Caenorhabditis elegans: one gene and its partner. The protein of the gene in region 1 purifies or fractionates together with the protein of each later gene. This does not show direct contact. Each region holds a gene or a part of one and is shown on either strand. Other genes may lie near its edges.

What was found.
Region 2: the proteins of pho-9 (region 1) and cutl-20 fractionate together in Caenorhabditis elegans (co-fractionation; one large-scale study listed by BioGRID). This does not show direct contact.

What each region holds. Positions count from the first base shown.
Region 1 is NC_003281.10:2,754,746-2,766,502, reverse strand, and holds pho-9 (intestinal acid PHOsphatase), read left to right. Parts: upstream 1-5,686; 5' UTR 5,687-5,749; coding exon 5,750-5,823; intron 5,824-5,864; exon of another isoform or gene 5,865-5,885; intron 5,886-7,061; coding exon 7,062-7,356; intron 7,357-8,156; coding exon 8,157-8,657; intron 8,658-9,050; coding exon 9,051-9,335; 3' UTR 9,336-9,419; downstream 9,420-11,757. Other genes in the region: swsn-3 (HMG box domain-containing protein), read left to right, coding at 170-372, 1,636-1,853.
Region 2 is NC_003279.8:960,033-973,307, forward strand, and holds cutl-20 (ZP domain-containing protein), read right to left. Parts: upstream 9,426-13,275; 5' UTR 9,301-9,425; coding exon 9,205-9,300; exon of another isoform or gene 9,056-9,204; intron 8,457-9,055; coding exon 8,331-8,456; exon of another isoform or gene 8,286-8,330; coding exon 8,203-8,285; intron 6,892-8,202; coding exon 6,747-6,891; intron 6,702-6,746; coding exon 6,615-6,701; intron 6,567-6,614; coding exon 6,444-6,566; intron 4,165-6,443; coding exon 4,082-4,164; intron 4,021-4,081; coding exon 3,681-4,020; 3' UTR 3,661-3,680; downstream 1-3,660. Other genes in the region: shc-1 (SHC-transforming protein homolog 1), read right to left, coding at 9,648-9,806, 9,861-9,951, 11,428-11,918, 12,616-12,688, 12,835-12,905, 12,955-13,020.

The DNA of each region.
Region 1 (11,757 bases):
TCTAAAAAAAATAATTTTTTTAAGCTTAAAAATCTAAAATTTCTAAAAGATTACATTTTTTAAGCTTTAAAATCTGAAATTTCGAGTTAAAAATTCAAATAAATTTCAAAAAATTATCTAAAAATTATCTTTAAAAATCGATTTTTTTCCCAAATTATCCATCTTTCAGACTGGAAAGAGCCCATGACAATCGAAAAAGAGCCATCGAAAAGGGCAGTGACGACTTCCAAGAGCAATTGAAGAAAGCTGTTAGTGAAAAACCAGTTGTAGATGAGGAAAAGTTTGAGGAAACTGTTAAAGAATGGGAGGAGAAGCTTGCGACAGCTTATGAAGAATATAAGAAGAAACAGGAAACTACAGCAACTCAAAATGGTGAATATATAGAGAAAAAACACGCTGAAAATTCGATTTTATTGAGAGATTTTGGAAGAATTTTATCTTAAAAAATGGCAAATTTCCAGTGAAAATCTGAAAAAAAAAACAGTTTTTTTTTTCTAATTTTTTAGACCAAAATTGTCAAAAATTCCAATAAAAACCCCTGTGGGGACAATTGTTAGGCTAAAAGTGAAAAAAAACCTTCATTGGCAGAAAATGTGTCCCCCTTGCACAGGGTTTTTAATTGAAAATTTGAAATTTATTGAAACATCAACTCAAAATTGTGAATATCTGCAAAAAACACGCTGAAAAATTCGATTTTATTGAGATTTTTGAAGAATGTTAGCTCAAATATCGCAAATTTCCGGTGAAAATGTGAAAAAAACGTTGTTTTTTTTCGAATTTTTAGGCCAAAATTGTCAAAAATTCCAATAAAAACCCCTGTGGGGACAATTTTTAGGCTAAAATTGAAAAAAAAAACCGCTTCGATGGTTGGGAATGTGTCCCCACAGGGGTTTTTATTGAAGTTTTTGGCTGTTGTGGTTAAAAATTCTATTAAATACCCCTGTGGGGACACATTTTCAGCCTCTGAACCGTTTTTTTTTAATTTTTAGCCCAAAATTTGTAGAAAGTTCCAATAAAAACACCTGCAGGGACACATTTTCTGCCATTTTTGCGCTAAAAACAGTCCAATGCCAGAAAATGTGTCCCCACAGGGGTTTTTATTAGAATTTTGACAATTTTGGTTAAAAATCCCAATAAAAAACCCCTGCAGGGACTCATTTTCAACCATTGAGGCTTTTTTTTTCATTTTTAGACCAAAGTTGTCGAAAATTTCTATAAAAACCCCCTGTGGGGACACATTTTCCAGCAATTTTTGTGCTAAAAATTAAAAAAAAAACGGTTCAATGGCAGAAAATATGTCCCCGCAGGGGGTTTTATTGAAATTTTAACAATTTCGGTACAAAATTCCAATAAAACCCCCTGCGGGGACACATTTTCAGCCTCTGAACCGTTTTTTTTTAAATTTTTAGCCCAAAAATGTCATAAATTTCGGCAAAAAACCCCTACGGGGGCACATTTTCTGCGAATTTTTGTGTAAAAAATGTGTCCCCGCCGGGGGTTTTTATTGGAATTTTTAACCAAATTTTCAAAATTTTCAATAAAAAACCCCTGCGGGGACACGCAGCATTCTTATCAAAAAGTGATCAATCATCATTGTGCTGTGTGCTAATCATTTATTTTTTCCAATTTTTTCAGCGAATTCAGCGCCACTGTTAAGAAATTTGGTAATGGAGGAGACACCGAAGACGCCGGAGCAAGAAAAAGAGCAAAATGTCAAGGAGAAGCCGGCGGAGAGCACAGAAACACCAGCTGCTGGCACAGAGCCAAGTACAGATGATGGAGCAATTGAAACTACTACCACTACTACTACTACTGAAAATAAGGAAAAGCCGGAAGAAAAAATGGAAGAATAAATGGTCGCCCGGGAAATTTAAATTCACCAACAAAAATCTTTAATTTATTACTTTTTTACCCTATTTTTTAATTTTCCGCCTCTGAAAAACACCACCTTTTTACCCGTAAAATGGGCGGAGCCTAACAGACCACGCCCACAAAATGGGCGGGGCTTTATGTATTTTTTTAAACGCAAAATATCTCATTATATTTCGAAAAAAAATTAAATTTCGCAGAAAAAAATTCCCCAAAAAATTGAAAAAAAAATGGTTAGGCCACGCCCACAAAATGGACGAGGCTTTATTTTGATCTCAAAATTATTCTGAAAAAATTCAAAAAAAAAATCCGCGATTGTCTATTTTGTGGGCGTGGCTTCTTAGCTTTTTCGCTTTTTTTAAATTTAAAAAAAAATAAAACCGAAAAAGTTAAGCTCCGCCCATTTCTGGCCATTTTTCGAAAAAAAAATTGTGTTTTTTTTCGAATTTCCCTCTTCCAATATCCTCTTTTCACCAATTTTCACACAGAATCTCTCGATTTTTGTTATGTATTTTATTCATTTCCTCCTATATTTTTTATTTATTCATTTATTGTTCTTATCAAATTATCAACAATACACATTCATATATATATATATATATATATATATATATATGTATTTTAAAAAATTGTCGAAAAATCGGGAAAATTTTTAAATTTTTGAAGAGAAAAACAAAAAAAAACAATTTTTCCGAAAAAGTGAAATGTTCGAAAAAATGGGCGGGGCTTGGTAGACCACGCCCACAAAATGGCTGACCATTTTATGGCCGTGGCCTATTGAGTCCCGCCCACGTTTTGCATTGAAATTTCAAAAAAAAAATTTTTTTTCGTTAATTTTTGTTTAAAAAACTAGAAAAAAATCAACAAAAAACTAATTTTAAAAAATTAGATTTCGTAGAAAACAAATTCCCAAAAATTTGAAAAACAGAAAGCCACGAAATGGGCTGAGCTTAATTTTTATCTAAATATGTTTTAAAAAATCCCAAAAATCGCAGATTTCAGGCTTCTGCCTCTTTCCTAAAACCCCCATCTTGCCTCATACACGCGTTTTCGGTGTTCAAAAAATGTTCAAAAAATGTCCGAAAAAATGTAATACAATTTTGAACGTTTATATCTCGGCTCTCACGGAACCGATTTTTGAAATTCTTTTTTCTCTACATTCACAAAATATAGCGACGTGTGTTCATCTAAAAGGGGGTTGATTTGGGAGCATCCTGTCGGCTCCACAAGCGGAAAACCACACCCCTCTTGTTTTTGCGCACACCGAAGTACTGGTCGAAAACCACTTTAAATTGAAGGAAAATTCGAGTTTATGTTCAAAACGTTTGAGACTCGAAACTTAAGTTCTCCTTTTCAATACCTATCCACTGTATCTAAGTTCATTGTGATATCTCTATTCTTTATTTTAAAAACGATAATTAAAGTTTTGCCAAAATTTCTGCACCTCCCCCCTTTTCTCACACACACACACCCACCTCCCCTTTTCATATTTGGTGTGTTTTCACCATTGTTTCGGTCAAATCTCCGTTAGTCTTGCTCACTTCTTTCAAACAATTTACATTTTTCCATAAAATTCACAAACTTTCCACTATCGTTCCGGTTTTTACGTTAAATTTAGAATTTATAGAATGATTTAAAATGAAATCTCAAATCACAGCTCGATCCGATCACTTTTCGCGGAGATAGGGTATTTAATTTTTGCACATGGAAATCCAGTTTTCCTCTGTTCCTGGACAAGTTTTCAACTATCCTTTCGATTTTATGTTTTAATTTTGATAATTTTCATTGAAGCAAGGTAGAAAAACTAAATTTGGTCGGTCTTGACAACTTTCAGCACATTTGTGGAAGTTTCGAGCTTCCAGGCCTTCCCAGAAGGTGATATGTTTCAATTTTTGTTATTTTTTAAAATAATAACCGCCGTATTATTCCACTTTTTACGCCAATTTCAAATATTATTTTATTTTTTTCAAATTTCCACTATGAGCAAAGTTATGACGGATTGAAGTCTTAGTGCATAACTCCTCACCAACTCTAAGAAGAAGTTCACTTTGAACATATACTTCAGGCATTGCAGGCCGGAGGCCTGCTGTGCGATTACAACTGTTTCAAGCCCAGATTGGCTGGATTGAGTGCCGCAGGCACTCTTACTCTTAGAAGACGCAGTCAACCTTAAATCATTATACCAAGGCAGGCCGGAGGCCTGATATGCGATTACTCTTAGATAAGTTTGATTTAGAAAGCTTTTATTATTTTCAGTTTTCTAAAACAATCCCCATTCCCGAGGGGCTGCGGGGCCCACAGGCGTTCACGATTTTCCTAAAAGTAGATATGTTATTCACTCAAGCCTAATAACCAGGTTTGAGGGCCGCAGGCCCGAATACTCTTGAAAACTGTGGGCTGGCTTTAATCCTATTCTAAGCAGAGCAGGCTGTAGGCCTGCGACGCGGTTGTTATTTACTCAAACCTAACAACCAGGTTCGAGGGCCGCAGGCCCGAACACTCTTGGAAACTATGGGCTGGCTTTGATCCTATTCTAAGCAGATATGTTATTCAATCAAGCCTAATAACCAGGTTTGAGGGCCGCAGGCCCGAATACTCTTTAAACTATGGGCTGGCTTTGATCCTATTCTAAGCAGATATGTTATTCACTCAAGCCTAATAACCAGGTTTGAGGGCCGCAGGCCCGAATACTCTTGAAAACTGGGCTGGCTTTAATCCTATTCCAAGCAGAGCAGGCCGTATTCATGAGTTTTCCTTTTCATTCACCGTTTTTTGTAGTTCACAGTGATGATTGAAAACACGCTTATTTTATTGAATACATTCAAATTATTCTTGAACAAAATCTAAGCCTAAGTTATTCGTACAGTGTCGGTCCTGGAGCAATGAATCAAAGTTTAAAGAGATTTCACTTTACACAGTAAGAGCTTCGAGGCGAAACCTCAAACCTGAATAGTCAAGTTTTCTAAACATATACCCCACTCCTGAAATAATTTCAAAGAGATCTCGAATAACCCGTTAACAGGTTCGAGGCGAAGCCGAGAACCTGCGCCAGCTACCTTGCTAATAACTTAGAGCGAATAAACCCTATCCCCATTCCCGAAGGGCTGGCGGGCCCATAGGCCCGCTAGTCCCTCATAAATTGAAATGGAAGAGTTTGCCGAACTAGGCCATTTTGGCTCGGCCATATCTGGGGTAGATTTACGGAGCGTTGCGTGTTGCGTCGCGGCTCGGTTTTAGTTGTAAAACTGAATGTATTTGTCCGTGTGGACTACACACGACACTTTTCCACGCGTTGTCCGGCAGGCGATTGCCAATGGAGCGCGAAAAATGCATTGAGGAAGGCCAGAACCCCGTGTATTTTTCATTGAATTTAAATAATTATAGAAACTATTTTTTTAATGAAACAATGAAGAAAAATATTTCGAAAACTCACAAAAAACTTTTGAGTTTTTTTTCTGAAAATAGCACAAAATCGACAGATTTTTATCGATTTTTTTTTGATATTTCCGCCTATATTAATTAATTTATTTATTGATCTTATCATCAAATTATCAACAATACACATTCATAATTATGATGAACGTACTAAAAATAGAGTTTCTCTCACTCATGTGCTCGCTCGGCCATCACTTATGTCCAAAAAACTGATAAAAAGTAGAGTGTTGAAAGTGAAAATGAGCCTCCCTATTGTGTCACACACAGAGCACAAAACGGGGAACTCGTCGCCTTTGTCTTTGACACACTGGGACACTCCACCCATTCTGTCCCCACAGGGGGTACTTCTGTACTATAAAACGACGCTTTGGGTTTCATAATAAGGCAGCAGCGCCTCTGTTATCATTCGCCACCACCACCACCAAAAACTAACATCGCCGAGAAAATGATCTACCGACTATTATTCCTCTATTTCTCGGTGGTTCATGCCGAGCTCGAGATGGTTCAGGTGCTTGTTAGGTGAGATTTTCAAAAAAAAAAGTACTATAGTTAAAGGCGCATAGGCGTTTGTTAGGCCCGTAGCAAAAATATTTTTTAAACCGAATTATCTCAAATTTTTGAAATTTCTAGTCAAAAATTTGAGAATCAACCCTAAATTGGTTGAAACAGTACCAAATTCAATAAAAATTCGATTTTGTCTTGAAAACTGGTGTAATTGAAGGCGCACCGGCGAAAAATCGATTAAAAATACTGTATTCAAAGGTGCATAGGCTTTTGTGTCTCGTAGCGATTATTTTTTTAAATGTTTAATTGAAATTTCGAAAAATCCGGCAAATATTGATTTTTTTCTTATGCAACGTTTGAAAAATTAAATTAAATTTAAAATTTACTGCATAAATATACTGTACGTTTGGGTCCCGTAGCGAAAAATATTTTCTTCCGAATTTTTTCAAATTTTTGAAATTTCTAGTCAAAATTTTGAGAATCAGATCTAGACTCTTGGCTCAAAGAGTATCAAATTCATTAAAACTGTGAATTTTTTTTTGAATGCTACTGTATTTAAAGGCGCATAATTAAGGCCCTTTTTAGTTGCTAGGTCTCGTAGCGAAATGAGTTTTTTTCGGGATATGCCAGCTTTTAAGAAAAATTATTTACAAAACGATAACAAAGATTCCTGACTTCCCTCATAAATTGAAATGGAAGAGTTTGCCGAACTAGGCCATTTTGGCTCGGCCATATCTGGGGTAGATTTACGGCGCGTTGCGTGCCGCGTCGCGGCTCGATTTTAGTTGTAAAACTGAATGTATTTGTCCGTGTGGATAACACGACTTTCCCACGCGTTGTCCGGCAGTCGATTGTCAATGGAGCGCGAAAAATTCGATGAGGAAGGCCAGAACCCCGTGCGCGATAACCGATAGAAAAACTGATTTTTTTGTATTTCTGTTGGAATAGTGGGTTTCTATATTATCCCGAATAACTTTTTTGTGAAAATATTTAGGAAAAAGACCCTGAAAAACCCAGATTTTCGAAGAAAACTGAGATTTTTATCGCTCCTAATGTTTTCCCGGATATAAAAAAATCATTTTCAACCGGAAACTCGAGCAATCTTAGCGTTTTGTGGGAAGGTCTCTGGCGTGAATCATTGTAATTACTTCCTCACGTGACGTATTGTTAAAAATATTGATAACTAATCACCTTATCAATTCAATAGTCACATCATTCAATGGTCATGTTTCATAACCAATTCGGCATTCCAGACACGGAGACCGAGCCCCATCATTCACATACCCTCTTGATGAGTTCAACGTCGCCGAGCATTTTCCACGTGGCTACTCTCAACTGACACAGCGTGGATTCCGACAGGCAAAGGAAGTCGGAGTGTTTCTAAGAAATCAATATAAGGATTTGATTGATGGATTTGATCGAAAAGAGACACTTATTCGATCAAGTGACAAGGATCGGTGCATTGAGACGGCGATGGGAATTACTCAGACACTGTTTCCAGATGATATTGTCCCAGTTCACACGTATTCACATTATAAACATGATTTGGTTAGTTTTTTTGCTGAATTTTGAAGATTTCTCACTCTAAAAGCAGTTTTTGAACAAAAATTACATGAAAATTGCTAGAAAATGCAGAATTTCAGTTTAAAATCGATTAAAACTCAAAAAACATGCAAATTCAATGCTAATGTTGTTTGAAAGTGGAAAGGTGCAGAATTTCAACAAAAATTGATTAAAAGAATCTGTTAGCTTAAAATTCAATGTTTTACAGCTTACGGCCTAAATTTCGGCCCTTATTTAGATTTTTAGTCTGGTTTTTGAGAGTTTTGACAACCTTTTGACAGTTTGAGATCAATTTCAAAAGGGGTTTCCCACGTGGTGCCAGTTACGGTTTGATCTACAAAAAATGCGGGGGAGTTCTTTTCCCAAAAAATGTGACGTCAGCACGTTCTTAACCATGCGAAATCAGTTGAGAACTCTGTGGATCTTCCTGCCACATTTTTTTGTAGATCTACGTAGATCAATCCAAAATGAGACACTCTGACACCACGTGGTTTCCACGAATAAATCAGTAAACTAACAGTAAACTTTTAAAACAAAAATATTCCTTAAATGTCAATGCTCTTTTTCAAATAATTTTAGAATAGTAGTTTTAACAAATTTCAACAAATCACAAATGTTCCAAAGCTTTTCCGCCGATTTTTTTTCCAAAAAAAACTATCAGAAATTCGCTGCTACCTTTAATTTTAAAAACCGAATGCGATTAAATTGATTTTCAAAAAAAAAAAAATCTAAAAGAAAAACTCTTCAAAAATACCCATTTCCCATTCAATCAACTTCATTTCCAGCTCCTCAAACCAAACAGTGTCCGATGCCGACGAGTCGACGAACTTGTAAACGCCGACAAATCCTGGCTCTCCGCTCAAGTCGATATTGAGCACAGGGACCTCTTCTCTCTTTTATCTCAAAAAACCGGCTGGCATGTGACGGGCTCAAAGATCTCCGACGTTTTTAACGTTCTCTATCGGAAACATGCAAATGGAGTTGCACAACCAGATTGGGTCAATCATGTTCTTGCAAATGTCACAGAGCTTAAGCGTCAGTACAGAAGTATTCAATTCAATTCTGATGAGAAGTCCAAAATGCGAACGGGATACCTTTTGGGGCAGATTACAAAAGACATGGTGCATCGAGAAGAAACGGGCCGGAAGATGATTGTGTACGCCACACATGATGCTACCGTAACCTCCATGATGTACAGCTTGGGAGTGTCCGATCATCAATTGATTCCGTATACAGCTGCTTTGATTGTGGAATTGCATAGACTAAATGGAAAATCTTTTGTTAAGGTTAGTCTTCAACTGGAAGTAGTGAAATCTACTGTGGGCTTAGGCTTAGGCTTAAGTTCAGACTTAGGCTTAGGCTTTGGCTTAGGCTTAGGATTAGGCTCTGGACTTAGCCACATGATTGGCTGTGGCTCAGGCCAAGGCTTAGGCATAGGCTTAGGCTTAATCTTAGGCACAGGCTTAGGCTTAGGCTTAAAATTAGGCTTTGGACTTAGCCACATGATTGGCTTTGGCTCAGGCCAAGGCTTAGGCTTAGGCTTAGGCTTAGGCTTAGGCTTGGACGTAGGCTTAAGCTTAGTCTTATGCTTAGGTTTAGGCTTTGTCTCATTCTTAGGCTTATTTTCAGACTAAATTAGGCTTTCCATTCTGAAAAAAAAAAACCAATTTTAATTTCAGATTCTCAACCGCAGCTCTCCGGAATCTGCTCCCCGCGAGCTTCGTCTTCCTGGATGCGATGTGCTTTGCCCAATGGAAACCTACCAGGAATTTGTTTCAACACGAATTATTTCCAACAAAGAGGAGCATGACGTCATCTGTCAGAACTTTGAAGCTCCAGAAATCGAACTTCCATCACAAGAACTTCCCAAGAACCTTCCCGAAGAAGATCACCTCTTCTCAACACTTATCACTGTCGGATCTCTTTCCTACGATCTCTATGCTAATTTGAAAGCGAAAAATTGAAAACAATAATTTCTCTGAATTAAAAAAGTATTTACAAAAAAAAACGAGTGCATAATGAATAAAATTTTACAATTGACTTTTAAAAAAATGTATATACATGGAAAATTGAGGCCGACGATTGAAAATAAAGAAAATTATCTGAATTTCTGAAAAAACAAACAATTTCGGGGGAAAGTGGCCGAGTTTTCTCAATTTCTAGGCCACCAATCAAATACCGACATGATCATCGTGGTGCAACGAAAAATGCCAAAGTGGCCGAGGTTTCGCATTTTCTAGGCCACCAAACAAAAATTGTTCGAGTCAACATGGCGCATCGAAGAATGAGCAAAATGTTTAAATGAGTGGCCTAGCTTTCGCAATTTCTAGGCCACCAAACAAAAACTGACATGATCAACATGGTGCAACATGGTGCAACGAAGTATGTCGACATGGCCGAGTTTTCTCATTTTCTCGGCCACCAACCGAAAATTGCCACCCTAGAATCTAAAAACTAACAAAAAAGTGAAGAAACAAGAAGCTCCCTCCGTCATCATTTATTTGCCAACTTTCTCCCAAAGAGTCGCCAGTGGTCGCCACACATATACACAAAGAAATCTTTTTCAAACACTAAGACACTGTCTCTCTCTGTGATTTGCACTGTTTCTTCTCTCCGTCCGCAACTACCTCTCAAGAGCCGCGGAGCAAGCAACAACCAGCTCCTGGAGAAGGCTTCTGTCTTTTTTACTGTGGAGCCGAAGAAGAGCACTTTTGTTTTATTAATTATTCAAAATTTTTAAGTTTTAGTTGGTTTTGCCTACATCCGAAAAAATGTTCGGATGTATCGCACCACCCCGACAGTCCAGAAGCATCATCCGATCATGCTCACAGGTAATTTTTTTTGGAAATTTCTATTTTTTTCATCGTTAAAATAAGATTTTTAGCGTAGGCACAAGGTACCTGCCTATTTGCCTACTTACCTGCCTTGAGCATACACCTACTGGAACTTTTTATTTGATTTCGGTGTTAAATGGCAATTTTTGGCGTAGGGACAGGGACAAGGTACTTGCCTACTTACCTATTTACCTGCCTATTGAGGCAGGCATGAGGTAGGTTTGCGGTAGGTACATAGGCAACATAGGCACGAGCTAGGCACATTTTCCATGTTTTTCTTTCATTTTTGATGTAGGCGCACATTTTCCTGCCTACCTACATATACCTATTACCGCAACTATTAGATTTCACGGTGTTTTTCTGAAATAAACATTTAAAGTTCGCATGCCTACCCCTGCCTGGGTCTGCCTGGTGCCTATACGCCTAAAATTGCCACATACATATAATCATTGTTCAAGTCAAAATTCCGATAACATACGGTTGGCAGGTAGATAGAAGGTAGGCAGAAGGTAGGCAGAATGTAGGCAGGTAGGTAGCAGGTAGGTACGAAATAGGCATTTGTGTCGCCAATTTTCATGCAAAAAAGCAATTTTTCAGGATTCCCGTGAGTTCCATGGCGATCCGCGATTCCAGCGTCCAGCCTCAGTGGACCTTCGACAACCACGACACCCACTCACGACACGAGGTAAGCAGGCAGAAAATAGGCGGCCTACCTGCCTGCCTCTACGCCTACCACTTATTTCGAAAGTCGATGCACCATGATTTATTGATGTTGGCTTAGGCTTAGGCATACATAGGTTCGGGTTCAGGTTTAGCCATAGGCTTAGGCTTAGGCCTAGGTTTAGGCCTAGGTTTAGGTTAAGGCTTTGGCTTAGGCTTAGGCTCAATCTAGGCTTAGTCTCAGGCTTAGGCCCAGGCTCCGGCATAGAATTGTATTATTGATTTTTTCTTGATTTTTCTATGATTCCTAAAATAATTCAATATTTTCAGGAAGATCAGCGACACCTCCAGCGACTCTTCACGGCCACCCATCCCAAAATAACAAGCCGCCGAAAATGAAGCGACTAGACAAGTGGATTGGCAATTTACTTAGTGAACGTGAGTGGAGGGTGTGTGAGATCAAAAGTCAGCTGGAACGGAAATGAAATTTGTTTAGTTTACTCTTGTCACTTTTTTTTTGAGTTATAGTGATTTTATTTTGGCTTGGAAAATTCTGGAAATTTTTTGAGAAGAAATTTTTACCTAAAAATTTAAATTCTCTTTTTCGCACTAAAGTTACAAATATTTTCAAAAATTAAAAGTTTTCAAAATTGAAATTTCCAGCAAATTGCCAATTTGCCGAACTTGCCAAAAAATTTTTGGCAAATTGTGGTTTTGCAAATTTTTTTTTTACAAACTTCGGAATTTCAATTTTAATCAGCAAAATTGTACGCATCCTATGAATATCTGGCAAACGGCAAACCGGCAAACGCCAAAAATGAAAATTTCCGGGCAAATCGGCAAACCAGCAAACTGCCGGAATTGAAAATTTCCAGCAATTCGGCAAAACGGC
Region 2 (13,275 bases), on another chromosome or scaffold:
GGGGAGGATGCGTGATTCTTGAAATATGCTCCAAGTGACAAATTGAGCGTGTGTGATGTATCGTGGCAGATGGCTGGCTGACAACGGATCAGTTCCAAAAACTGTATCAAACGGGGGGAAGAGAGGGGAGATGAAGGATGGGGGCAGATGGAGTCATCGATGCACCATGTTTTTTGGAGCTGTTCACTCAGATATTAGGGTATTTTAATCCCCTTTTTAAGGTCTATTTCTGATCGTAAAACTTGGTATTTTCAACTCATTTTTAACTCAAAAATTTCAAAAGTTTGAAAAATTACACAAAAACCTAAATTTTGATCTGGTTTCAGGCATTTTAGTCCCTGTTAAGCGTCTTCGATGCACCATGTTGTTGTTCAACTTGTTTAAACTTTTTAGTTCCGCATCGAGGAAAATGGAAAATAAAAAATTATTTATGTATTCAAAAACCATACTTTGATTCTCCGTAACAACGCTTTCATGGGAGGCAGGCCCGGTTTCAGGGCCTGACGCCTGCCTCAAACCTGCCGGCCTCACGCCGGCCTCACGCTTCATTTCTGCATTTTGGCGAAAAATCAAATACTTGGACATAGTGAAAAGGTGATTTTTTCGACGCGGCCGACACTTTTCGGGTTCCGCGCCGCACTATACAGGAGGCGAGGCTCGCGGCGCGAGGCAGGCGGAGGTCGCCGCAAGGCAGGCGCGGCAAGCATTTTTGTGCTTACATGGATACCCTAGTCTACACAAAGCACGAATTTCTGGCTTCCCTCATAAATTGAAATGGAAGAGTTTTTGCCGAACTAGGCCATTTTGGCTCGGCCATATCTGGGGTAGATTTGCCGTCGCGTTGCGTGTCGCGTCGCGGCTCGATTTTAGTTGTAAAACTAAATTTATTTGTCCGTGTGGAGTACACGACTTTCCCATGCGTTGTCCGGCGGGCGATTGTCAATGGAGCGCAAAAAATTCAATGAGAAAGGCCAGAACCCAGTGAAAAAGATAATTTGACAATTACAAATAATGTTTTAAAATTTTTTTTTTGTTTTTGATTTTTGGTTCTCCTTGTGTTTTAAGAACATGATGCATCACCGCTGGAAATTGCTGGATATGTAAAAAAATTATTTATGTACATATTTAAAAATCAAATCTTGATTCTCCGGGATAGAAGCATAAATCAAATTTATTACTGTAAATTTTCACTTTCAGTACATTTAATTGAAATTTTTAAGCTTTGAAGTTCAGGGTATCATAGTTTTGCCTCCAAAATCCACTTGCCCAAAAAACAAGCCTGGGAATTCCCGGCGGGGGACGATGGTTCGATAGCATCAATCATATCTGTGTGTGTGTGTGTGTGTGCAAGGCGGGGGATGAGCCGGCGCGCGAAACGAATAAATCAAGAAACGTCTCTCTTTCTGCGAGCACGGATTTTGTTGTGAGCCCGCGCGCGCGCGGTCTATAGGAGGAGAGGGGTATCATGCACTTCTAATACAGGGCATACTTCTTTCATTTCCATGTTTTTGTACATGTAATAAAATTGTTAATTAGCCAAAAGTGGTTCACATGTTCACGTCGTAAACGTCGGTTTTCAGGGTGTACTGATAATGAATGTGCTCTGTGTGGAGACAAAGAGGCAGCAGAGAGCAAGAATCAGTTAGGTTAGGCAGGTGACTTTTTTCAATTGTGACTAGGAAAAAGTATTTTGGGAATTTTTTTTTATTTTTTGGCTTCTGCCCAGATTTTCAGGATTTTTCAAATATTTACAGAAATTTTCGTGATTCTACAATAATATTTTTGTAATTTTCTCAATTTTCAAAAAATTGCCAATTAATTTTGAAGTTTCGAATGAAGCAATTGCCGAAGTTGCCGACTCCCGGAAATTTCGAAAACCGGCAATTGCCGAAATTGCCCTTTGCCGGAAATTTCGAAAACCGGCAATTGCCGAAATTGCCCATTGCCGGAAATTTCGAAAACCGGCAATTGCCGAAGTTGCCGACTCCCGGAAATTTTGAAAACCGGCAATTGCCGAAATTGCCGACTCCCGGAAATTTTGAAAACCGGCAATTGCCGAAGTTGCCGACTCCCGGAAATTTTGAAAACCGGCAATTGCCGAAATTGCCGATTGCCGGAAATTTCGAAAACCGGCAATTGCCGAAATTGCCGCTTGCCGGAAATTTCGAAAACCGGCAATTGCCGAAATTGCCGATTGCCGGAAATTTTGAAAACCGGCAATTGCCGAAATTGCCCATTGCCGGAAATTTCGAAAACCGGCAATTGCCGAAATTGCCGCTTGCCGGAAATTTTGAAAACCGGCAATTGCCGAAACTGCCCTTTGCCGGAAATTTCGAAAACCGGCAATTGCCGAAGTTGCCGACTCCCGGAAATTTCGAAAACCGGCAATTGCCAAAATTGCCGATTGCCGGAAATTTTGAAAACCGGCCACTGCCGAAATTGCCGACTCCCGGAAATTTCGAAAACCGGCCACTGCCGAAATTGCCGACTCCCGGAAATTTCGAAAACCGGCAATTGCCGAAATTGTCGATTGCCGGAAATTTCCGATCCCTGAGTTTAGCCTTTTTCAGCAAATCAAACAGTTTATGATTATTTTTTCAAAAATTGTTCTGCAGTGCTCTTGCATCACTATTGTGGCCCTCCTTTAAATACAGTACTTTCTACAGTACCACTACATCAATGATCCTTCCAGTAATGCCAACACATTGTACCACTACAGTAATCCTACAGTACCCTATACAGTACCGTCGCAATACAATTACCGTAACACTATGGAAATCTTACAATAGACTACAGTATACAAAAACTACAGTAACCCCCTTGAAGTTAGTGTAAAACTTGCAAATGTTCAACTCTTTTTTCTGATTTTTTTTTGTTAAGTTCAGAAATTGTAGAGTGTTTTTGGCTTCTGCTCAGATTTTCAGAAATTTTCGTGATTCTATAGTAGTCTTTTTGTAATTTTCTCAATTTTCAGAAGTCTGCAAATTCAATTTGAAATTTCGAATAGCTTTAAAAAACTCAAACAGTTGGCACAAATTTTCGTAGATTCATGTAGAATTTCAGCCTTTTTCAGCAAATCAAACAGTTTTTTATTTTTTTTTGTATTTTTTCAGAAATTGTTCTCACCCTCCAAAGTACTATCACGTCCTAACAGTAATATTAGCCTACCGTATCACTACAGTAATCCTCCAGTACTTCTGTGCATGCTACAGTACCCTTGCATCACCATAGTGGTGATCCTTTAAACCTACAGTACTTCTACAGTAGCACTACAGTACCACTTCAACAGAATCTTTCCAGTAATATCAGCGTATCGTACCACTACCGTAATCCTACAGTACCGCCACAATACTATTACCGTAACACTATGAAAATCTTACAATACACTACAGTATACAGAAACTACAGTAACCCCCTTGAAGTTGGTGTAAAACTTGCAAATGTCTACCGTAATCCTACAGTACCCCAATACAGTACCGCCGCAATACAGTTGGCATAACACTATGAAATCTTACAGTACACTACAGTATGCAAAAACTACAGTAACCCCCTTGAAGTTGGTGTAAAACTTGCAAATGTTCAACTTTCTACAAATTTGCCATTAACTTGTAAGTTGGGGGAGCGCATCGAAGTGTATACATATATGTACATGCCAACCAATTATTTTCTCAAACAATTTATTAATAGTCGAAGACACCTGAAGCAACGATTAGGAGGAAGAAGAGGAAGGAGAGATTGGCAGAAGAAGAAGAAGAAGACGAATTAGTTGAAGAATCTGTTGAAACGGAAGACGTTGTTTGTGATGTCTCTAGCCGTGCGACAGCTTCCCGTTTCAGACGGAACGATGTTCGCACGGCGATCGGTGGCGAGATGTCGGACACGTCGATTGTCGACGAGAAGGGATCAGAGACGGTTGAAGAATGCTGAGGAGGAGGATTATGTCGACGTTCCCGTCCACGACACGCGGCCTGGGTACACGTGACACAGACGTGAAGGTTACAGAAGATGTTCACCTCGTTGCTGGAATAATAGTCGTTGAGAGGTGGGTGGTGAACATGAACAAAGAACTTAAGAGGCTTACCTCGTTGGGAATGCCCAGGCCTTTATGTGGTTGTAGAAGATGGTCTTACCATTGCGTCGAGTCACTTCAAAGTCTCCCCACACCTGGAACAATTTTCTATGGAAGTCTCAAATAATATGCAGTTGGTCGATGCACCATGATGAATTTTGTGCCAAACATGGTGCATCGACGCTAAATAATTTTCTTTTGAAATTTAAAGATGTTTTGCTAGACTTTCCCTAAACATCTTTTTAGTTTTCCAATGTTCTCTAATATCATCATGGTGCATCGAGAAAAAATGTTATAGGAGGAGTAAAGAAATTTGAGACTTTACTTTTTTAGACCAAAAATGACCCAAAACTACCGAATTGTTTAGTAAGACGTTTTGAAAATTTTTCAAAACAAAGTTATGGCGGTTCAAAGTTCTGGAAAATAGCATATTTTCAGCTAAAATCTAATGTTTTGGGGGCTGGGGGAGGAATAAAAATGTAATTTTTTTTGTGCCCCACTGCCCGAAAATGCACTTTAATCGACGAATAAACGGCTTATAAAGGGCCACAATATTTATAAAAGAGTGATATTATAGTTATAAATAAAAATTGAGTTCCCGACCGAGAAAAAAATTGGCGAAAATTTTGATTTTAGCTGAAAATGGGACTTTTTTTCCAAAACTTTGAGCGGCCATAACTCTTTTTTGAGAATTTTTCAAAACGTCTCATTTAGAAATTCGGTAGTTTTGGGTCATTTTTGATCTAAAAAAGTAAAGTCTCAGATTTTGATACTTTCTCGATGCACCATGATGAAGAGAAAAAAAGAGAAAATTTAGAAAAAAAAAAAAAGAACCCTTCCGATGTTTTGGGAAAGTTTAGCAAAACAATAGATTTGTAAAAAATTCAATTTCATTAGGTTCCTATTAAATTCTCAATTTTTATCAATGCACCATACATTTTCAGCGTGAAATTTTGTAAAATGCACAGGAATGAAAATTGATCAGGTGTGTATAAAATAAGAAATTGAAGCATTTTGTTTTTTTTTTTGTCGATACACCATGATGAATTTCACGTCAAACATGGTGCATCCTGGAAAGGAGAGAGTTTTAAAAATGTATCATTTTTTTCTCGATGCACCATGAAGATTTATATTAGTAGAACTTAAACCGCACTTAGCATAAGTGGCATAAAAATAAAGGTGGAGTAGCGCCAGTGGGGATTTTGTCTAAATACACTTATTATGATCCAAAACGATCGAATATCTTAATGAAACACTCCAAAATATTTAAGATTTTTCAAAATTTCCGGTCAAAGTTTTGGCAAATTGCCAAAATATTGAAAAAAAATATGAGCTTTTGAGGAAATCCAAAGCAATGTCGCGTGTTTCGACCCACACAATGTTTTTATACAATGTAGAAAAAAATTTTTTTTTGGTCGACTTTTAAAATTATGAGTGGCAAAAACTGAGTAATTGCCAATTTGACAGTAAATAAAAAATTTTCAAAAACATTTTGAAAAGTTTTATTATGATATTCGATTATTCTGGCACCATTTGAGTGGTTTGTAGTAATTTCCCCACTGGCGCTACTCCACCTTTAAAATTAAAAAAAAAATCATAATGGGTATTTAATATCAATGAAAATTATCGATTTTTCCAAATGTATCAAAATGAGTGTTCAGCGCGAAATTTTGTGCAGGACTTTTTCTTTCAATAATATATCCCGAATGATGCATTAGTTATGGGCTACACGATTTTTAGAAAAGCACCTGGCCATGCTTAAAGGTGGAGAACCGAAATTTGATACTCTGTCTTTTTAGATCCAAAACGGTCCAAGACTACCAATATTCGTATTAACCTGTTCTGAAAAATTTTCAAAAAAAAAAGTTATGGCCGTTCAAAGTTTTGGAAAAATGGTCGATTTTTAGCTAAAATCTCAAATTTTGGCAACTTTTCAATGTCACAGCTGGAGCTTAATTTTAGAAACAACACGTGATAAATTGCAAAAACATGCATAAAAATATGTTCCAACCGCTCCGACACTAAAAAGGTGCCAAAATTTGAGATTTTAGCTAAAAATCGACCATTTTTCCAAAACTTTGAGAGGTCATAATAACTTTTTTTTTTGAAAAATTTTCAGAACGTCTTAATACGAAATTTGGTAGTTTTTGGACCATTTTGGGTCTAAAAAGGCAAAGTATCAAATTTTGGTACTCCACTCACTATCGAAGCAGAGCCCCAAAAGTTTGACCGACCCAATTTTGTAAGTTTCTTCGATGCACCATGATGATTTTGAGCAAAATGTTAGTTTTTTTTTTTGAAAAACTGGTGGCAGGACCCAGTTTTCGGCAGTTTTAAATGTCGATGCACTATGTTTTTTTTAATGAAACCGTACCTCCCCAGAAGTCTGCAAAGAGCATCCGTGTGAGTCCGACAGTGGTAGCTCGGATATCCCGTCATTCGCCCAACACCTTCCGATTCGTCCATTCTGATCATCGCTCATTTCAACTGTGTACGTCTACAATTTACAAATAGTTTCTTTTGATTTATGGAGTTCCTGACTTACAACTCTATCACCAACTGCTAACGGACGTTGTAGCTGCTTTGAATCCAAACTGTCGCCGTCTAGAACACGAACTCGGTAGTCGACTGTCTGAAACATTATATGGGTCTCGCAGCGATAATTTTGAAGCCTTACCTTATTATCCGATAGGCTGCTTGCTGTGGTGGCATCCGAGTTGATAGTGATTCCACCAAATGATACGGTCACCTGAGATTCTTTAGGAACAGGGGCAGCAGGTATACAGGTCAGAAGGAATCGTTTGTCGGTTTCTGCATTGAATCTTAAAAAAAAACGATGAGGAAGTTATTTTTTATTTTTGTCTATTTTTGTTCGTATATGGTTTTTTAGGTACCATGGAATAAAAAAAATGCTCCTAAAAAAATTAGTTTCAATAACAAATATTACTGGTACAGAGAGTGTAGATAGTTAGAGAGTGACTGACATCCGGGACCCAATGGGGCGGGGCGCGCGGAAGAGACGATTCGTGTCGATTTACGAAATGATGACAACGAGGAAAATTTCGTAAATCGACACAAATCGTCTCTTCCGCGCGCCCCGCCCCATTGGGTCCCGGATGTCTGTCACTCTCTAACTATCTACACTCTCTGTACCGGTAATACCATAATATGATCATCATTCTACATTAGAAAAAAATCGATCTGAAATCACAGATTTTTGGCCTCCCTCATAAATTGAAATGGAAGAGGTTGCCAAACTAGGCCATTTTGGCTCGGCCATATCTGGGGTAGATTTACGGCGCGTTGCGTGTCGCGTCGCGGCTCGATTTTAGTTGTAAAACTAAATGTAGTTGGCCGTGTGGAGTACACGACTTTCCCACGCGTTGCCCGACGGGCGATTGCCAATGGAGCGCGAGAATCTCAATGAGGAAGGCCATGGCGCGCCAGAACCCCATGATTTTTAGGGTATTTCGAGGTTGGCAAATATTCTGGAATCTTTTTGCAAAATGTTTTTTTTTTTTTGAAAAAAAAATTCCAAAAAATATCCTGATCGATGAAAATTGTTGGGTGAAAAAAGTTGCAGATTTTAGGAGAAATTTGAGAAATTAGAAAAATTAGAAATTAGGAGAAATCAGAAAATTTCCAAACTGCTTTCAGAATACTTGTATATATTGAAATAGCCTAAAAATCATGAAATTTTTCAAAAATCTCTAAACTAGCCTCCAAATTTGGTAGTAAAAATTCACTGGCAGCAACTTCAGAGCGAGATTTTTCTAGTTTAAAGTGCTCGTATGTCGCTGAATTTTTTGTAGGTACCTATTTGAAAGCTCTTTTTTCAAAATTCAAAAATTTAATTTTCAAGTTTAAATTTTGAGTAGCGCCAGTGGGGGATTTTGTCTAAATACACTTATTATGATCCAAAACTACCTGAGTAATTGCCACTTTTTGACAGTAAATAAAACATTTACAAAAAAAAAAAGTTTTATTATGATATTCGGTCACTTTGGGACCAAATGAATGGTTTTTCATAATTTCCCCACTGGCGCTACTCCACCTTTAAAACTGAGCGGAAATACTTTCCTTGTGAGCATAGCGGCAAAAAACCTAGTACCACATGGCAAAAAAAAACCCACTCATTGTTAGCCATGACAACTTCGATCTCATTCTCCAAATTGCCTTCTCCGTTCTCCTTGGTCGAGCAGCCAGTCAGCGGAATCTAAGCAAATAATGCCCAAAAATTCAATACATTCAATAGGCAAACCTTCAACTGATATTTGGTGTCCGATTGAAGCGTGCCATTTGCATAGATACACTTTGGATGGCCCGCGCGACTTTGTATCGTGCCACGGAAGTTTTCGTCAAACTTGATTTTCAATAGGAAATCTGTCTGCAATATTGAAGACGTTTTTTTCCTTTTGGGTGGTGACCTTCAAGGTTTTGGCCTGGGTTTTTAATCTTCCATTAAATGCCCTTCAAATTCGCTTTTTCGAGAGTTTAAGAGAGTTTCTAGGCCGAGGAACTTCTTGCAGCCAAATTTCTAAACTATTGTGTTTTTGCCAAAAACAATGAAACATTTTAGGTCATTTGTGACGTCATATTTTTTCCATGCAACTTTTTATTGGCTCCACACATCTTCCAAAAAGCCTAAGCCTGAGCCTAATCCAATGTCTAAGCTTAAGCCTAAGGTTCAGCCTAAGCCTACGCCTAAGCCCAAACCAAAGCCTAAGCCTAAGCCTAAGCTCAAGCCTAAGCCTAAGCCTAAAAAAAACCGGAAAATCCTAAGCCTAAATAGCGTCAGTAGCAAGCTAACGCTCGCCACTGACGCCAAACCTAAGTCTCGGCTTAAGCCAAAGCCTAAGCCTAAGCCTAAACCCATGATTAAGCCCAATCCTAAGCCTACGCCTAAGCTTGAACCTAAGCCTAAGCCTAAGCCTAAGCCTAAACCCAAGCCTAAAATTTCTAGGCCACCACTAATATTTTCAAAACTCGATTCTCAAATACTTCATTTTTTCAGGATATGAAAGTAGGACAGAAATGGGCAGGGTATATGGTATGGAGCAAATATCACAAGATGGCAGAAACATAGATACGGGGTGGGAGTGTTGGACTAGGTGACTTTTCTAGGCCATCCCTACCTTATCACACGCAATAGAAGTGTCCACAATGGCCACCGATCGAATCAGCGGTGGCAGCACCACAACCACCGACCAAATGATCCAGTGCAGAATCATAAATTTGTGGAGGGAAAAATCGATAACAGTAGTGAGGGTAATAGTAGTAATAATACAAATATATATGGAAAAATGAATACAAAAAGATGTGTGCGCTGGTTGGGGTGGTGGCGTAAGAATACAGGTGGGTGGGGGGTATAATTGGAGCGTGGCCGAGGAGGAGAATCGCAAAAAAAAGAAGGAAAGAAAGAGGATAGTAATGACATGTTACGGTAGAAGGACAACTACCTAATTATATGAAAGAGGGGGGGGGGGCGACGAGAAGAGGAAAAAGTCTTACGCAATTTGCTACTCGACTTTCAATTTCTGCTAGAAATCGAAAAAAAAATAGGAAACAAATTCCGACTCTATTCGATATCATCACTTCCGGGGCACGGCACAGGTCGGATCAGATTCAACGACGTCTCGCGATCCCGACCCTCTGATCTTACGGCCATCCCATTGTTCACATGATAGTCGATGAGCTCGGAGATGTTGCTGAACGTGCGATCGCGGGTTCGGACTCTCTGGAATTTTGAGAGGTTTGAAGGTTTGGCGGGGGGGGGGGGGGAGGGTCTTACGTTGTGATTGTCCAGTAGGATGAGATGTTTGTGCTCGTTTTCAGCGGTTCGGCCACTCAGCACGTACTTGCCGGGCGTGTGGTCGCTTTGTCTGCAAGGAACTGGACAAGTTTGAGCGGCCGACAGCTTGCGGGTCTTTTTTTAGAGAAGGGGGACTGTGAGGTGTCCGCTGCTTCAGACAATCTTAGCATCATGCAAACCTTGCATCTTTTGTATTTCAGGAAAAAAAACGCAGAATTTTTTTTGAACAAAAATTTCAGCCTAAAACAAAAATCTAAAAAAATTTTGGGAGGATGAACTTATTATACCAAATTTTTCCCTGGTCTTTCAAGAATTATTTAAAGTCCCGTGGCTTCTGAACATATTATCAAACAAATTACAGATATGAAATGTGACTGAAGCTTTAAGTCAGAAATATATAAAAAAAGGATTTTTCATACTATTTTTTCAGTCAAATTTGATTTTTTTAGACTTTCAGATTTTTCTACGAAGTCTGTTAAAATAGGCTTATATTAAAAAGCTATCCGATTTACTATTAGTAAAAAATTATAGCGACCGACATCTCGCAGGTTGTTAAAGAAAGGTGCATTGACCGGCTCACGCAACTTTGGCAGTTTATATCTCGGCTGGTTTTGGTTTTATTTAAAAAATTTCAATTGACGAAATATTTATCACTTTTTCTACTAAAAGTTTGCAGTTGAACACTTTTTGCTAGCAGCGATATTAACCGAGATATTAGCGGAAAAAGTTACATGAGAAACATGGTGCATCGACAAGAAATATCTCACAAAACTTTGGCAGGTTATATCTCGGCTGGTTGTGGTTTTATTAAAAAATTGTTAATTAACAAAATGTTTATCCTTTTTTCTACTACAACTTTGCAGTTCAACACTTTTTGCTAGCAGCGATATAAACTGAGATATGATTGGAAAAAGTTACATGAGAAACATGGTGCATCGACAAGAAATATCTCACAAAACTTTGGCAGGTTATATCTCGGCTGGTTGTGGTTTTATTGAAAAATTGTTAATTGACAAAATATTTATCCTTTTTTCTTCTACAACTTTGCAGATGAACACTTTTTGCTAGCAGCGATATAAACCGAGATATGATTGGAAAAAGTTACATGGAAGACATGATGCATTGATCAGCTATCATAGCTCATATTTTACTTATCTCAGGTTTTACCAAAAAATTGCCAATTATTAAAACATTAGCCTTTTTCTTCGAAAATCAAATTTTGCCCGAATTGCCGAAAATATAGATTTGATATTTTTTTGTAGATTTAGGAGCCTAAACATTTTTTAATTTTTTAAGTATTGACCGTTTGCTTTTAAAAATGACTAATCGAATACTGAAAACACAGTTAACTTTTTTTTCAATTTTCGAATTATAATTAGGTTTGAAAATTGCCGAAAATGTCGGCATTCAGTTGGAATTTTGGCAATTGCCGAAAATTTCCGATTCCCACGCGCCCCTGGTGTGAACCTAGTGAGCATGAAGCCAAACGTTTTAGAAATTCAGCAAAATTCTAGCTTTTTTCTATAAAAAATCTAAAAAACCTTACCGAACCAAAAAATCGCCTTCCGTCTTCAACAAAGCCTGTGCATCCTCTCTGGATAAATTTCCATGATACCAAACTTTCCCCACAACATCCTCAGTTACAGTAGGTGCTCGGCAATTCGACACAAATGACTGTCGATGCAGGGAACTTCGATGTCTCATCGGCGGCGCCGGCACCGTAAATCCATCGTTAGAAGTTGAAGCATTCGCCTGTGCATCAAAAGTGTTCACATTGATCGCAGTGGTAAGGACGTCGATGAGCTTGTGCACATCCTCGATGAACACCACGTGGCATCGACGATCCGTTCCATCCTTGTTTTTTGCAATGTAGCCGAACATTAGCTCCGTGTCCGTACCCTTTTGGCCTTGGGCTCCGAATGAGAAGAATGAGAAGGGATGACGTTGAATTAGACGACTTTGTTTTATGATTTTGATCATTTTCGAGGAAATGTTGATGTCTACGGGGAAGTTTTCTTTTTTCACTTCACCGATTACCTGAAAATAAGGATGGTTTACCTGGGCTTTTTCATCGACCCGTGAAGTGTCGGCTGCAATAATTTTAGTCGAAATTAGTGATAATAACTTTTCTATGAATAGCGGCTGACATCATTTAGCGCGATTTTTGATCGACCTGTAAGATGTCGGTTGCTTTAGTACATTCTATAGTGGCAGGCTTTTGGCTGAATTTTACTGGATATATAAGCTATCAAAATTTGAGCATGTCGATGCACCATGTAATTATCTCAGTTTATTTCGCTGCTATCAAAAAGTGTTAAAATGCAAAGTTGTAGTAGAAAAAACGATAAATATTTTGTCAATTGACACTTTTTCAAAAAAAAACCAAAACCAGCAGAGATATAAGTAGTCAAAGTTGAGTCAGATATTTCCAGTCGATGCACCATGTAACCTTTCTCTAATAACCTGTGAGATGTCGGTTGCTATAATTTTTTAGTCATTAATTTGGACAGCTTGTTAATTTGAAATAATTCTTGATGATATCGTAGCGCGGCCGACATTTCACGGGTCCTTTTTTTTAAACATTTTGCAAAGCTGGTCATGCATTTTTGGTAACACTTAATATCAAATTAATGAGAAAATGTTTTGTAAATTTTTACCATTAGCCATGCCCAGAAAATGGCAAGTTTTTTATTTTATTTTCTTTTGTTTTTTTAATTCACAAAAAAAAACTCACCCTACTAACAACTGGATTGATTTCTCGAGCCGCAGTCACGCCAACAGTAGCTGCAACGTGTTGTATACATTCTCTGAAAATTGAACAGTTACTTTATTACGTAGATTTTTTATATATTTGAGCTTGCAGATGTTACCTGCCTTCATGCCTGCCTACCGCCTGATTTCTAAATTTTTGAATAAGATTTTTTTTTGATTTTAAGCCATAAGAAAAACTAACGAAACAACTTGAACTCTCATCTCGGAAACCATCACGTTAATTGACTCGACTACTGGAACACTTCCGAGGTACTGAAAGACAATTTTATATTTTCGGGGAAAAAACTAATAAAAAACTCACAGTAGCCGACAGAGAAACCCCGCTGCTCCGCAGCTCCTCTGCAAATGAGGGCTCCACGTTGAGCATCGCCGCAAGTTGATTTTTCGACGGAATTTTTGATTATTTTTAGAAAAAATCTAACTCGAAATTCGTTACAACCGAAATTTTGCAAGATTGAGTGAATGAGGAATGACCGGGAGAGAAACGGAGACGCAGGCGGTGAGCGGAGTGGGAGAGAGAGCGCGCGAGACGGAGAGGCGCAGGCAGTGGTAGGGAGGAGACAGGGAAAGATTAGATTGGTGTTGACTGGGTGAGTCAGCATTCTAATAAGTTAAGTTGACT